Canis lupus familiaris: one gene and its partners. The main gene of each other region encodes a partner of the protein of the gene in region 2 in a complex. Links are inferred from orthologs where the notes say so. Each region holds a gene or a part of one and is shown on either strand. Other genes may lie near its edges.

What was found.
Region 1: the proteins of VAMP2 (region 2) and NAPA are in contact, whole or in part, in a cryo-EM structure (PDB 3J97), measured with the Rattus norvegicus proteins. The link is inferred for Canis lupus familiaris from reciprocal best matches to the Homo sapiens genes VAMP2 and NAPA. Residues at the interface, in NP_036795.1 of Rattus norvegicus: Gln36, Ala37, Asp40, Glu41, Val43, Arg47, Val50, Asp51, Leu54, Glu55, Gln58, Lys59, Arg66; in NP_542152.1 of Rattus norvegicus: Arg116, Thr118, Lys122, Ser157, Ser159, Ser160, Lys163, Leu197, Tyr200, Ser201, Lys203, Arg239, Ser268, Ile269, Arg271.
Region 3: the proteins of VAMP2 (region 2) and CPLX1 are in contact, whole or in part, in a crystal structure (PDB 1KIL), measured with the Rattus norvegicus proteins. The link is inferred for Canis lupus familiaris from reciprocal best matches to the Homo sapiens genes VAMP2 and CPLX1. Residues at the interface, in NP_036795.1 of Rattus norvegicus: Arg47, Val50, Asp51, Leu54, Asp57, Gln58, Ser61, Asp64, Asp65, Asp68, Ala69, Gln76; in NP_074055.1 of Rattus norvegicus: Leu41, Arg48, Tyr52, Glu56, Arg59, Glu60, Met62, Arg63, Ile66, Arg67, Tyr70, Gly71, Ile72.

The regions. Positions count from the first base shown.
Region 1 is NC_049222.1:109,234,123-109,237,214, forward strand, and holds part of NAPA (alpha-soluble NSF attachment protein), read left to right. Parts: intron 1-638; coding exon 639-716; intron 717-973; coding exon 974-1,029; intron 1,030-1,136; coding exon 1,137-1,221; intron 1,222-2,060; coding exon 2,061-2,165; intron 2,166-3,092. UniProt on the Homo sapiens protein: Required for vesicular transport between the endoplasmic reticulum and the Golgi apparatus. Together with GNA12 promotes CDH5 localization to plasma membrane.
Region 2 is NC_049226.1:33,181,049-33,184,789, reverse strand, and holds the start of VAMP2 (vesicle-associated membrane protein 2), read left to right. Parts: upstream 1-1,339; 5' UTR 1,340-1,383; coding exon 1,384-1,385; intron 1,386-1,887; coding exon 1,888-2,008; intron 2,009-2,462; coding exon 2,463-2,621; intron 2,622-2,720; coding exon 2,721-2,772; intron 2,773-3,350; coding exon 3,351-3,367; 3' UTR 3,368-3,741. UniProt on the Homo sapiens protein: Involved in the targeting and/or fusion of transport vesicles to their target membrane. Major SNARE protein of synaptic vesicles which mediates fusion of synaptic vesicles to release neurotransmitters.
Region 3 is NC_049224.1:92,242,724-92,246,464, forward strand, and holds the start of CPLX1 (complexin-1), read left to right. Parts: upstream 1-1,052; 5' UTR 1,053-1,167; intron 1,168-2,606; exon of another isoform or gene 2,607-2,746; intron 2,747-3,420; exon of another isoform or gene 3,421-3,560; intron 3,561-3,741. UniProt on the Homo sapiens protein: Positively regulates a late step in exocytosis of various cytoplasmic vesicles, such as synaptic vesicles and other secretory vesicles.

The DNA of each region.
Region 1 (3,092 bases), on a different chromosome or scaffold from region 2:
GGGGCAGGGGCTGTGGAGCAGCCCTGCGTGCCGAGTGGGCAGCCTGGCGCCTGGACGCCCACCGGGTGGAGGCTGGGGGGCTCAGCCCCTCTGGAAGCTAGAGAGCTAGAGGCTTCCTTGGGGAGAGCCATCGTGTCAATGGGGGAAGCTGGGGGTTGGCCTGTCAGTGGGGCGGCCTCCATGGCCACATTGGGGGCAAGGGGAGGCTTAGGAAGGCTGTCCCCTCCGCAGTAGGGATGCCTGGGCTGTCAGCCTGGTTTCTCCAGAGTGTTTACAGGTGATTCTAGGCTGGTCTTTCCCCCTCTCTGGGCCATCTGTCCCCAGGCCAGGCCCTCTGCCTGGTACCTGGGCCCCATTACCTCTGGCATTGCCTCGTCAACCTGTATCCCTGTGGACAGGAGAAACCCGGAGGCTGAATGTGGAGGGGTGTGACAAGGTCACCCCATCAGGGCTCAGTGAAGCCTCCCATTGGAGGCCTGTGCCCCTCAGTCTCCCGGTACCCTCTTGTACATGCCTCATTTGTGTGACTGAGGTGCAGGAACCCACTGGTTTTGGGGGCCCAGAAGAACAAGGAGGGGCAAGTGGGACGCTGGGAACATTACTCCATCAAAAAGGACCCCTTCCTGTGTCCCACCCAGGGCCGGTTCACGATCGCGGCCAAGCACCACATCTCCATTGCTGAGATCTATGAGACGGAGCTGGTGGACATCGAGAAGGTGAGTGGCAGTCGGTGGCCCTGCCTGGCTGACAGTGGGGGAGGACTGCAGCAGCCTGTCTCCTCAGACTGGGGCTTGTCTGTCTGCTCTCTCCACCTGAGGCATCCTCTGGTGTCTGAGTACCAGAAAGGGGGTGTGGCGCACCGACAGAACTTGGGTAGAGGGCTCCTGCTGTGGCCCAGGCAGGGCCGGCCCTATGGTGGATCAAGGTCACATTGCCACCTCCTCACGCCCTGCCTCTCCCCGTGTCTCCCCAGGCCATCGCCCACTATGAGCAGTCTGCAGACTACTACAAAGGAGAGGAGTCCAACAGGTACCGGCTGTGGGCACCCTTCCCCCTTCCCTATACCCACCCCACCCCACCCCTTAGCCCCCAGGCCAGCCACCACTGACCTCTGTCTCCTCCGCCCACCCTTACAGCTCAGCCAATAAGTGCCTGCTGAAGGTGGCTGGCTATGCCGCACAGCTGGAGCAGTATCAGAAGGCCATTGACATTTATGAGCAGGTGGGGACAGCCAGGGCTCTGGGGGAGGGCCCTGCACCCCATTTGCCCTTTCCTGATGTCCCATCATCTGCACAGTGCTCCCTCCCTCCCCCTGGCCACCTCTCCCCTCCCCTCCATCACCATCCTGGCACTCCCCTTGTCCTCACTGGCTAAACAGTTCACCACCCACAACCCCACAGGGAGTCCCCACCCTCTCCCTGTATGCTTCTCACAGAAAGCTTCCTGGGGGGGCCTGGGGGCCCAGAGGGAGTGGGAAGAGAATCCTTAAGGCCTGGGGTAGCCAGAGGGAGCTGAGGAGCCCACAGGGAGGGGTCAGAAAGCTCGTCCTTCACACACCATGGGAGTGACAGGGAGGGAGCATCACGTGGGGGCGCAGGCTCCCCTGGGCTGTGTGGGGAAGGCTGGGCGGTCCTGGTGGGTTCAGCTTGGCCAAGAGAAAGGCAGGCAGCTGGCCCCGGAGGAGTAGGGGGCGGGTGCCACCTCTCATGTTCCCGCAGCCTGCCGCCCCTCTGCCCACCGACGTGCCAGCCTCCTGTAGGGCCTGACAGCGGGGCCGCCTCCTCCCCACCATCTCAGGGGGTGGGGGGAGCCCACCGACACCGGGCTTTGGCCCTGTGACAGCACTCGCCCCCTGCCATACCCTGGTCTTTGGCTACCCACACACCACCGGCTGACTTCCTGGGGCTGGCCCTTGGCCTCCCTGCCCTTCGGGTCCCGGGTTGATGGGGCTTCATCCGGGACACAGATGAGGCTCCCAGCCGGCCCCCCGGTGCCTCTCAGTGACCCTGGCTCTCTGGCTGCCTGCCCAAGCTTATAGTGCCACCACCGCACCTCCACAGGTGGGGACCAATGCCATGGACAGCCCCCTCCTCAAGTACAGCGCCAAGGACTACTTCTTCAAGGCGGCCCTCTGTCACTTCTGCATTGACATGCTCAATGCCAAGGTGAGCTGGGGCCCAGTCGGACCACCCAGAGCGTCCCCCACCTCCCAGTGACCACCGTGGTGCACCATGTTTATCACTAGATCCCTTAATAGGGGTGAGCCCTCCCTCATGTCCAGCACCTGCCTGTCAGCTGTGGGCAGGAAATGCTTGTTCTCGCCGATGTGCTCCTGTCCCAGGTGTCACCTGCCCAGTGTCTGTAGCTTTTGAGTTTATCCAGCTTCTCACTTACTTGGTGCCAGTGAGGGAGAGCACACTTTGAGTTTTTGCTGCATCCCTCGAGGTCAACACCACTGTCACCTGTTGTACAGATGATGACACTGAGGCTAAGACACAGGGACCCTTATTCAAGGTCACATGGCTGGATTCCAGATCTTTCTGACTCCCAGTGTCATGATTTGAACCATAGTTTGCGTGTCCACACCACCCCTTTTGAGGGCTGTTTGGCAAGACAGGGGTGAGTGGTGGGCGAGGGGGTGGGGAACTGCTGGGGGCAGGGAGCTGGAGTCTTCCAGGGTTCCACATTTCCTGGGGTCTCCAGCCACCGTGCCCTCCGCCACATGGAGTGTCTGAGCCCCACCACCACCCCTGCTCCCACTGGCTGCGTGTAAGAGCTCGCTCAGGCTCGGCCTCAGGCTGGTTCGCATCCCTGCCCCCATATACCCTGTGCCCTGAGCAAATCTTTCAGAATGGGGGTCACTCATTCCACCTTCCCTGGGTCCACATGATGGTTAAATGTAAGAAGTACCCAGCACCAGCCCTGCCCTGTAGGATGTATTCGTAGGAGGCAGCTGTCATTTGTGCCCTGCCCTGGGCACTGGCCTAGGAGCCCCTCCCCACACTTCCTCCACACAAGCTGTCTCTGCAGCCAGGTTTGGCCAAGTACAGCCCCAGGGAAGTACCCTCCAGGCACAGAGCCAGGTGACACTG
Region 2 (3,741 bases):
GTTTGTTTTCAAGAGGCCAAGACCACCAGCCTCCCTCTGCTCCCCTTCCAGGTATGGAAGGAGCACCCCTGCCCCAGAGCCATGATGCCTCCACTAAGACACCTCCTTCTTCATTTTTGAGGCTTGCTTTGACCGACCTCACAAGATAGGTGGCTCATCTGGTCCCATCTTGTCCCTGAAGAGCCAGGCCTGCTGGGGATGAGAGGACTGAGTGTGTGGAGCTGCTGTTTAAAAGATCTAAAGAGAGACCAGTCAGGGATGGAGGGGGAGTGGATAATCCTTTCCTACCAGGTTCCGGATCAAACCACTGAACATGTGTTAGTGCCTACAGTTGTAATACACGTGGAGTCCAGAGATAGGACAGGAACTGGCCAAGGTCACACCTATGAGGCTAATGCACATGTAAAGTAGTACCTTGTACCTGGCTACTGCAGGGGGTAGGCAGCCCTTGCCTACTGTCTTTCCCCTTGAAGAAGAAAAACAGAACGAAGAGAAAACCCCCAAAACCCCCTTTCTGTCGCAGTCTGGGATCAGAAGCTGAGCTCTCCTCTGTTACCTGGGAGCGGCCCCAACTCTGGGGCAGAGCTGGGTTTTGGCCGGGTCCGCAGCCACCACGGCCACCACGTGAAGCAGCCGCATGGGACAGCCTAGTGCCCTCCTCCGTCGGCCTTAACCTTGCCCTACCTCGGTCAAGCACCTCTGGTCTGCGCCCCGGTTGGGTTGTGAGGAGCTCACACACCCTGCAGTGGCTTGGTGGGGGCGGGGGCGGCCTGCCTCTTCTGCTTTCCTTCACAGCCGAACTCAGCGGCCGGGGCCCCAAGCCCGCCAGGCCTCCCCTGAGCTGTCCACCTGCAGGGCTGGCGGAGGGGGGGGGAGGGCCCCAGCTCCCGCCGCCGCTGGCCCACCGCAGCAGCAGGGGGCCCGGCAACCTGCACCTGCCCCTTCCCACGGCCCACCCAGCCGGCTGCAAACGCTGGAGCCGGTCGCCAGCGCGCAGGCCGAGGCCTCGCGGTGTGTGGGGGGTGCGCACTGGTTTGCGGGTTTCGCGGGTGCGGGCGGACGTAGCCTGGGGCTCACGGGCACCCTCGAGGCCGGAGGCGGGGGACGGAGAGGCGTGGGGCTGCCGTGAGGGCTGCGGCCGGATGCGCGGGGATCGCGGCTCCCCAAGCTGCGGCAGGTGGGGGGCCGCCCCGCCGCGCCCCGCCCCCACCGCCCCGCGCCCGCCGCGCCCCGCCCCCGCCCGCAGTGCCCGGATGTGGGTGACGTGCGGCCGCCATCTTCCCGTCCCGGGCAGCCAGCGCCAGTCGGAGCCAGCGCGAGCCGCCGCCGCCGCCGCCGCCGCCGCCGCCGCCGCCGCCGAGCCGTCCGCCTGCCGCCCCCGCCATGTGAGTCGGCCGCCCGCGCCCGCACCGGGCCTGCCCGCGCCGGCCGCCGCCCTTGGGAGCCGGTCCGGGGAGCGCCCGGGGTTCGGCCGGCGCCCCGAGGCCAGGCCGGCGCCCGTGACTGCGCGCGGGCGGCTGCAGAGAGCGCCGCGTCCCGGGCTGGCCGCGCGGGCGGAGGCCGCGGGAGGGAGCGGGCCCGCCGTCCGCCGCCCCTGGCCTCGCCGCCGCCCGTCATTGCGGGTCGACCCCGCACCTTGTCTTGGAGGTCGCCCTCATTTGACGGACGGGGAAACTGAGGCCCCCTCAGGAGGGGGGAGGGGGCCTGACTCAAGGTCACGCAGCTGGGCGGCCGTGGGGCCGGACGCCGCGCAGGGCTCCCCTCGGTGGCCTTCCTCCGGGGAAGGAGAAAGGGAGGGACGGATGGATGGACAGGAGGATGGGCGGAGCCCTGGCCGCGGGGCCGGCGGCTCCAGGCCTCGGGTCTTACTCCGTCCCTGCCCCTCAGGTCGGCTACCGCTGCCACCGCCCCCCCTGCCGCCCCGGCTGGGGAGGGAGGCCCCCCGGCGCCCCCTCCAAACCTCACCAGTAACAGGAGACTGCAGCAGACCCAGGCCCAGGTGGATGAGGTGAGTGTGGGGGGTGTCAGGCGGCGGGAAGGACCCCGACGGTTGGCACCGGTGGGGAGGGGGCATCCTGTGTTGGAGATGCTGAGTTTATGAGTTTAGGGACAAAGACGTACCCTGCCCCTGCCCAGCTCAGCTTGCATTTGGAACGGCCTGGGGTGTTAGTCAACCTTGATGGGCTGGGGAGTTTGGGTCCCGGCAGGTGTGGTCTGGCGACGCACAGGCTGCTTAGAGGGTGCTGCTCTGACATCTGAGATGTCTTGTCTGGCTGTCAGCATGCCCCTGATGTGTGCTCCTTACATGTCCCCAGGTGTGCTAGGGATGTTCTCTGTGTGTCCTTGGCATGTTAGCCGGGCAGCATCGGGGTGCATGTTCACTCTGTGGGTGCATGGTTGAGGACTGTGCCCTCACTGAGGCGGCCTTGGCACACCCCCTGCCTCGTGGGCCCCTCCTTCAGGTGGTGGACATCATGAGGGTGAATGTGGACAAGGTCCTGGAGCGGGACCAGAAGCTGTCCGAGCTGGACGACCGTGCAGATGCACTCCAGGCAGGGGCCTCCCAGTTTGAAACAAGCGCAGCCAAGCTCAAGCGCAAATACTGGTGGAAAAACCTCAAGGTAAGGGTGGAGGCACGCAAGAGGGCTGGCATGAGAACTGGTGGGTGACGAGGGTGTCACGGTCTGTATCACTGACCCTCCCCCCTTTCTCGCCCCCAGATGATGATCATCTTGGGAGTGATTTGCGCCATCATCCTCATCATCATCATCGGTGAGTAGGGCAGGATTGGCTAGGGCCCTTTCTCTGGAGGGGTTTCCCCTTCTAGGTCTTGAAGGTCATTAACCTAGTTTGTACTATTCAGCAGAAAGTATATATAGCTGGCAGTGCAGCTCTGATTCATCTAGAGCCCCAAACCTTGCTGCACTTTGTTTGGTTCTAGGCAATTCTTGTTAAGATTTTTGGAAACAGGAAAGCTGGTGGATCAGCACTGCTCCCTTGAGGATCCTTTTTGGGCCTAAACCTAGTCTGGGAACCCTGGAATTGGGAAGTGGGAGAGCAGGTGAGGCCCAGGGGCTTGAGACATGGCTAGGAAGCCAAACACCCTACTGTTTGAGAGCTTGTGGGCCAGACACACAGATAGATGATTGGAGTCTGTGGCCCCAAGGCCATACTGTGGAGTTGTAGAGACCTTGGAACCTACCAGCCCAGTCTGTTGCTTTACAGATGGAGAACCTAAGGCCAAGAGGGCTGGGGAGTGGGGAGGCTGGGAGCAGGGCCAGGCCTGATACACTGCTTTCTCTCTCTTTCTTTCTCCCCCTCTCTCCTTCCTTCTCTTTCCCTCTCTACAGTTTACTTCAGCTCTTAAACCCCTGAGGAGCCCGCCCTGCCCAGAGAAGGGCCTCTCCCCATCTCCCCCCACCCCATCCCCAGCAGCTCCTCCACCTCTCAGCCATATCTTCCAGCCCCCTCCCCTGGATCCGCGTGTGTGTGTCCCCGTGTGTGTGCACCCCTGTAAATAGCCAGCTGTTATTTATACATATATAATATTATATATATTTGGTCTGTTTGTAGTTTTATTACTAGAAGATTTTTCCGGTTGTCCTTAACACCCCTTCCTGAGGTTCCCATCTCTTTTCTCTTTTCCTCCTTCCCCTTCTGTCTCTTCCTGACCAGCCCTGAATCCCTTCATTTGCATCTGCTATGCAATAGTCCCTCTTCCTCTTTTCCTTCCCTTGGATT
Region 3 (3,741 bases), on a different chromosome or scaffold from region 2:
CCCGTGGAAAGTGCATGTCATCGCCAGACCCCGGCGGGGCGCAGTGTGGCCCAGCACGCGGGGTGGGGCCGGGTCTGAGCAGCGCAGCACCGCCCGCCCGGTTCCCGGAGCCCCAGGGACGCGCTCCCAGCGGCTGCCCCACGGCCAGCGCGGCCCAGGGAGCGGGGAAGGGGCCGTGGTGTCGGGAGGCACACGAGGCCCTGATGAGTGACACCCGCCGTGCCACTTCGCCTCCACGACTCCTGCCACGACCTCCCAAGGCCTCACGGGGTCCAACAGCAGGGGGACCCCAGCATCCACTTGCATTTGAAGTTTCTGGGCAATCCCCGGTGCACCGAAGTCCGTCCCAGCCCCCCGGGGGTCCGCGCCCCTGGCAGACCCCACCCCAACGCCAAAGGCCGACTGGGGGAACGCCTGTGGGAGCCGGAGCAGGACGTGCCCTGCGGCGCGGGGGCCAGATGGGACTGGCAGGGGCTGGGCCTCCCTGGAGGGAGCTAAGGGGCACCCCGGGGGGCCTCCAGGAGGGGCCTCCGGGAGGCTGAGCTCAGCGGCCTCTGCCATCTGCAGGACTGCGTGGGGGCGCAGAGGGGACTCTGGATGCCCGGGGCCTGCAACCCAGCATCATATGGTCTTCGTGCCTTGGATCGGGGTTCCCGGCCTGGAGGGCCATCCCTGGAGCAGGTGGAGGGCCCAGCTAGGGCGCCCCCCACGCTGCATGGCCCCTCCCTTCCGCTTCCTGGAACCCTTCTCTGTACCCCGACCCAGGACACACCCTGGGACTGTGGCCTCCTCTGGGTGCCTCTGAACTCACAGCCGGGTCTCCCCCAGCTACTCGCTCCTGCCTCCCCGTGGCTGCTGCAGGTCTTCCAGGCCCTGACGGCGACACAACTACCAAGGCAGCATTGCCCCCCCCACCCCCCACCCCGTCCACAGAGGCAGACCCGGCAGGTGGGTGGTGTGCAGCTGTGTCACCTCACGTCCTGGCCACCTGCCCAGAGCTGGCCCTCCCTGGGCTGCCCAGCTGCCCGGCCTCCCTGTCCTGGCGTGGGGCACCAGTCACTCTGATCTGGGACTGTCACTGGCCTTGTCTGTTTCCACTGGGAGAGTCGGAGACCTGGTCCGGGGCCTGGGCACCTGTGAGAACGGATGGGGGTCTCCGTGTGGGCGGTGAGTGCAGGACAGGCAAGGACAGGGCCAGAGAAGGCGACCGCATACAGGGATGGGGGAGTTTGGGGGCCGGGCAGCACCCCTGGACCCCGGGCTCAGGGCTCTGTGTGTGGCGCTCAGCCAGCCCCAGACTGTGGAGTCAGTGGGGCTGTGGGGTCCCCACTGAGCTGGGGGCCTCTGTGTTCCTCCCTCCTATGAGCCTGTGCCGCCCTGACACTGCCCTAGGGTCAGCTGGGTGTTGCCCTGCAGGTGGCTCATGAAGGTCCCGGGGTCCTGGGTCATGGGGCCTGCTCTGGACTCAGCTGAGGTCACCGCTCCGTGTGTTGCACCCCCAGGCCCATTGGTGGCAGGGGTGGAGGGGAGAGCCTGGAGCGGGGAGCAGCGACTTCTCTGCTTCCTGGGCGGACCGCTCCCTCCAGCATCCACACCCAGGTTGGGGGGCACCGGAAGGGCCAAGGCTGAGCAGGCCCTCAAGGCCCTCGCACACCTGGAACAGCCGAGCACAGAACACCTGTCCCCAGACGCGCTTGAGGCGGGGGCTCTAACCGGTGTCTGGAGAAGGGGGCAGTGATGCGATGGGACCCCGGGGGTCAGCCGGGGCAGGCAGCTCAGGGGCTCGGTGCAGCCCTCGGCTCCCCTTTGGGCAGCACCTCCCTCACCCGCTGGCCCAGATCCGCGGGGCAGGACCCGTCAGCAGGACAAGCGAGGATGTGGGGGCCGGAACCGGGGCCTGGGATCCAGGGAGGCTGCAGCCAGGCCAGTGTGTCCTGGGAGGTGCGTCCCGGGGCCGGCGCGGCCGGCGGGGGCGGCTCTGGCCGTTGGCCTCGACCTTGCGGCGACCCTGCGCTCCCCGCAGTGCGGCTCGGCGGCGGGGAAATCCCGGAGGCCGGGGGAGGGGGCGGCGGGGGCGGGGCCGCGGGGCGGAGCGTCCGCAGCGACCTTCAGGCGTCCCTGCCCGCGGGGGCCGCCGCCCTGCGCCACCCGCCGCCCCGCCCCGCCCCGCCCCGCCGGCCCCGCCCCCGCCCCGCCGGCCCCGCCCCCGCCCCGCCGGCCCCGCCCCCGCCCCGCTGGCCCCGCCCCCGCCCGCTGGCCCCGCCCCCAGACCCGCGGAGCCGTCCCCGTCGCGCGCTCCCGCTCTGAGAAATACGGCGGCGGCGGGCGGCTCCCTCCGCGGGGCGAGCGGGGCCCGGAGTCGGGGGCGCCCTCGTCCCGCCCTGGGGCGCCGGGGCCCGGGAGCGGCGCGGGGTCGCGGGCGGCGCGCAGGGGCCTCGCCCGGGTCGGGACCCCGTGGGCGCGGCGGGAGCCCCTTCCCAGCGCGGGGCGGGGCGGGGCGGACGGGCCTCCGGGACGGGCGGGGGCGGCTCCGTGGTCCCGCCCCGCGCCCCGCCGGCCCCGCCCCCGCCGGCCCCGCCCCCGCCGTGACGCTCGGCGCGGGCGGGGGGGGCGGGTGCGCCTCCACGTGACGCGCCCTCCTCGCCGTGCCCTTCAGCCGCCGCCGCATTCCCGGCGCCACATGGACCCCGCCGGCCCGAGCGCGCCCCGCCGCTGACCGCACGCCCGCCGCGCCCGGCCCGGGAAGGTAACCGCGCTCCCCCCGCGCCGCGCACCCCGCGGCCCCCGGCAAGGCCCCCGGCAAGGCCCCCGCTCCCCGCGCCGCGCCCGGCCCGGCCCGGCGGAGCCCCCAGCGCCCCCGGCCCCCGCCCCCGCCCCCGCCCCCGCCCCCGCCCCCGGGTCGCCCCGCCCGCACCCCGGCCCCGGGAGGCCCCCCAGCGCCCCCTACACCCCCCACACCCCCGCCGCCCCGCCCGCACCCCGGCCCCGGGCGGGCGCTGTCCGCGGACTCGGTGCTGAAGCGGCCCCGCGCGGCCCCTTCCTCGCTCCCGCTGCGGTCGGGGCTCCTGCCCTCGCGCCCCTCCCTGCCCCTCGCGCCCCTCCCCTCCCCGCCCCCCCGCGCCCCCGCCCCAGGGCCGCTCGGCACCTCGCCCGCCCGCAAAGCCACGGGGTGCGGCGGCAGCGGGAGCGGGCCCAAGCCTGGGGGACTCCCGCGGCGCCCCGAGCCTGGCTGTGGCTGCGCCCCGCTTCCCCACCCCCTCCGGAGCCAGGGGAGAAGTTTGGAAGAGAATCTGCTTTGCGGCAAGGGCGCCCTGTGCGCCAGCGCCGCGCGGGGAGGCGGCCCCCCCCGACCACCCAGCACCCGCCCCCCGGTCCCCCCCAGGCCGCAGGAGCGCGGGTCTCCTGGGAGGAGAACACCCGAAAGCGCTGGATCTCAGCCCTGGGCTGCCCTGCCCCAGAGGCCCCACAAGCGGGGAGGGGGAGCATTGCAGCCCCTGGTTTAGGCAGCGCCTCCGCACCGGAGTTCAGCGACCTGGACCCTGGAGGCCCCGCAGGCGCAGGTGGGGGCGCCCTGTCCTCCCTCGGGGTCTCCCACCCCAGTCTCCGCCGTGCTGCTGGCAGTGGGCATAGAACTTCCCCTGGGTACAGCCTGGTCTCCTGGGACTCCTGTCAGAAGCCGAGGGGAGCTCCCTGAAGGGGCATCCGGCCAGGCCCCACTCCTCCGTAGTCCTTTCGTCCCTT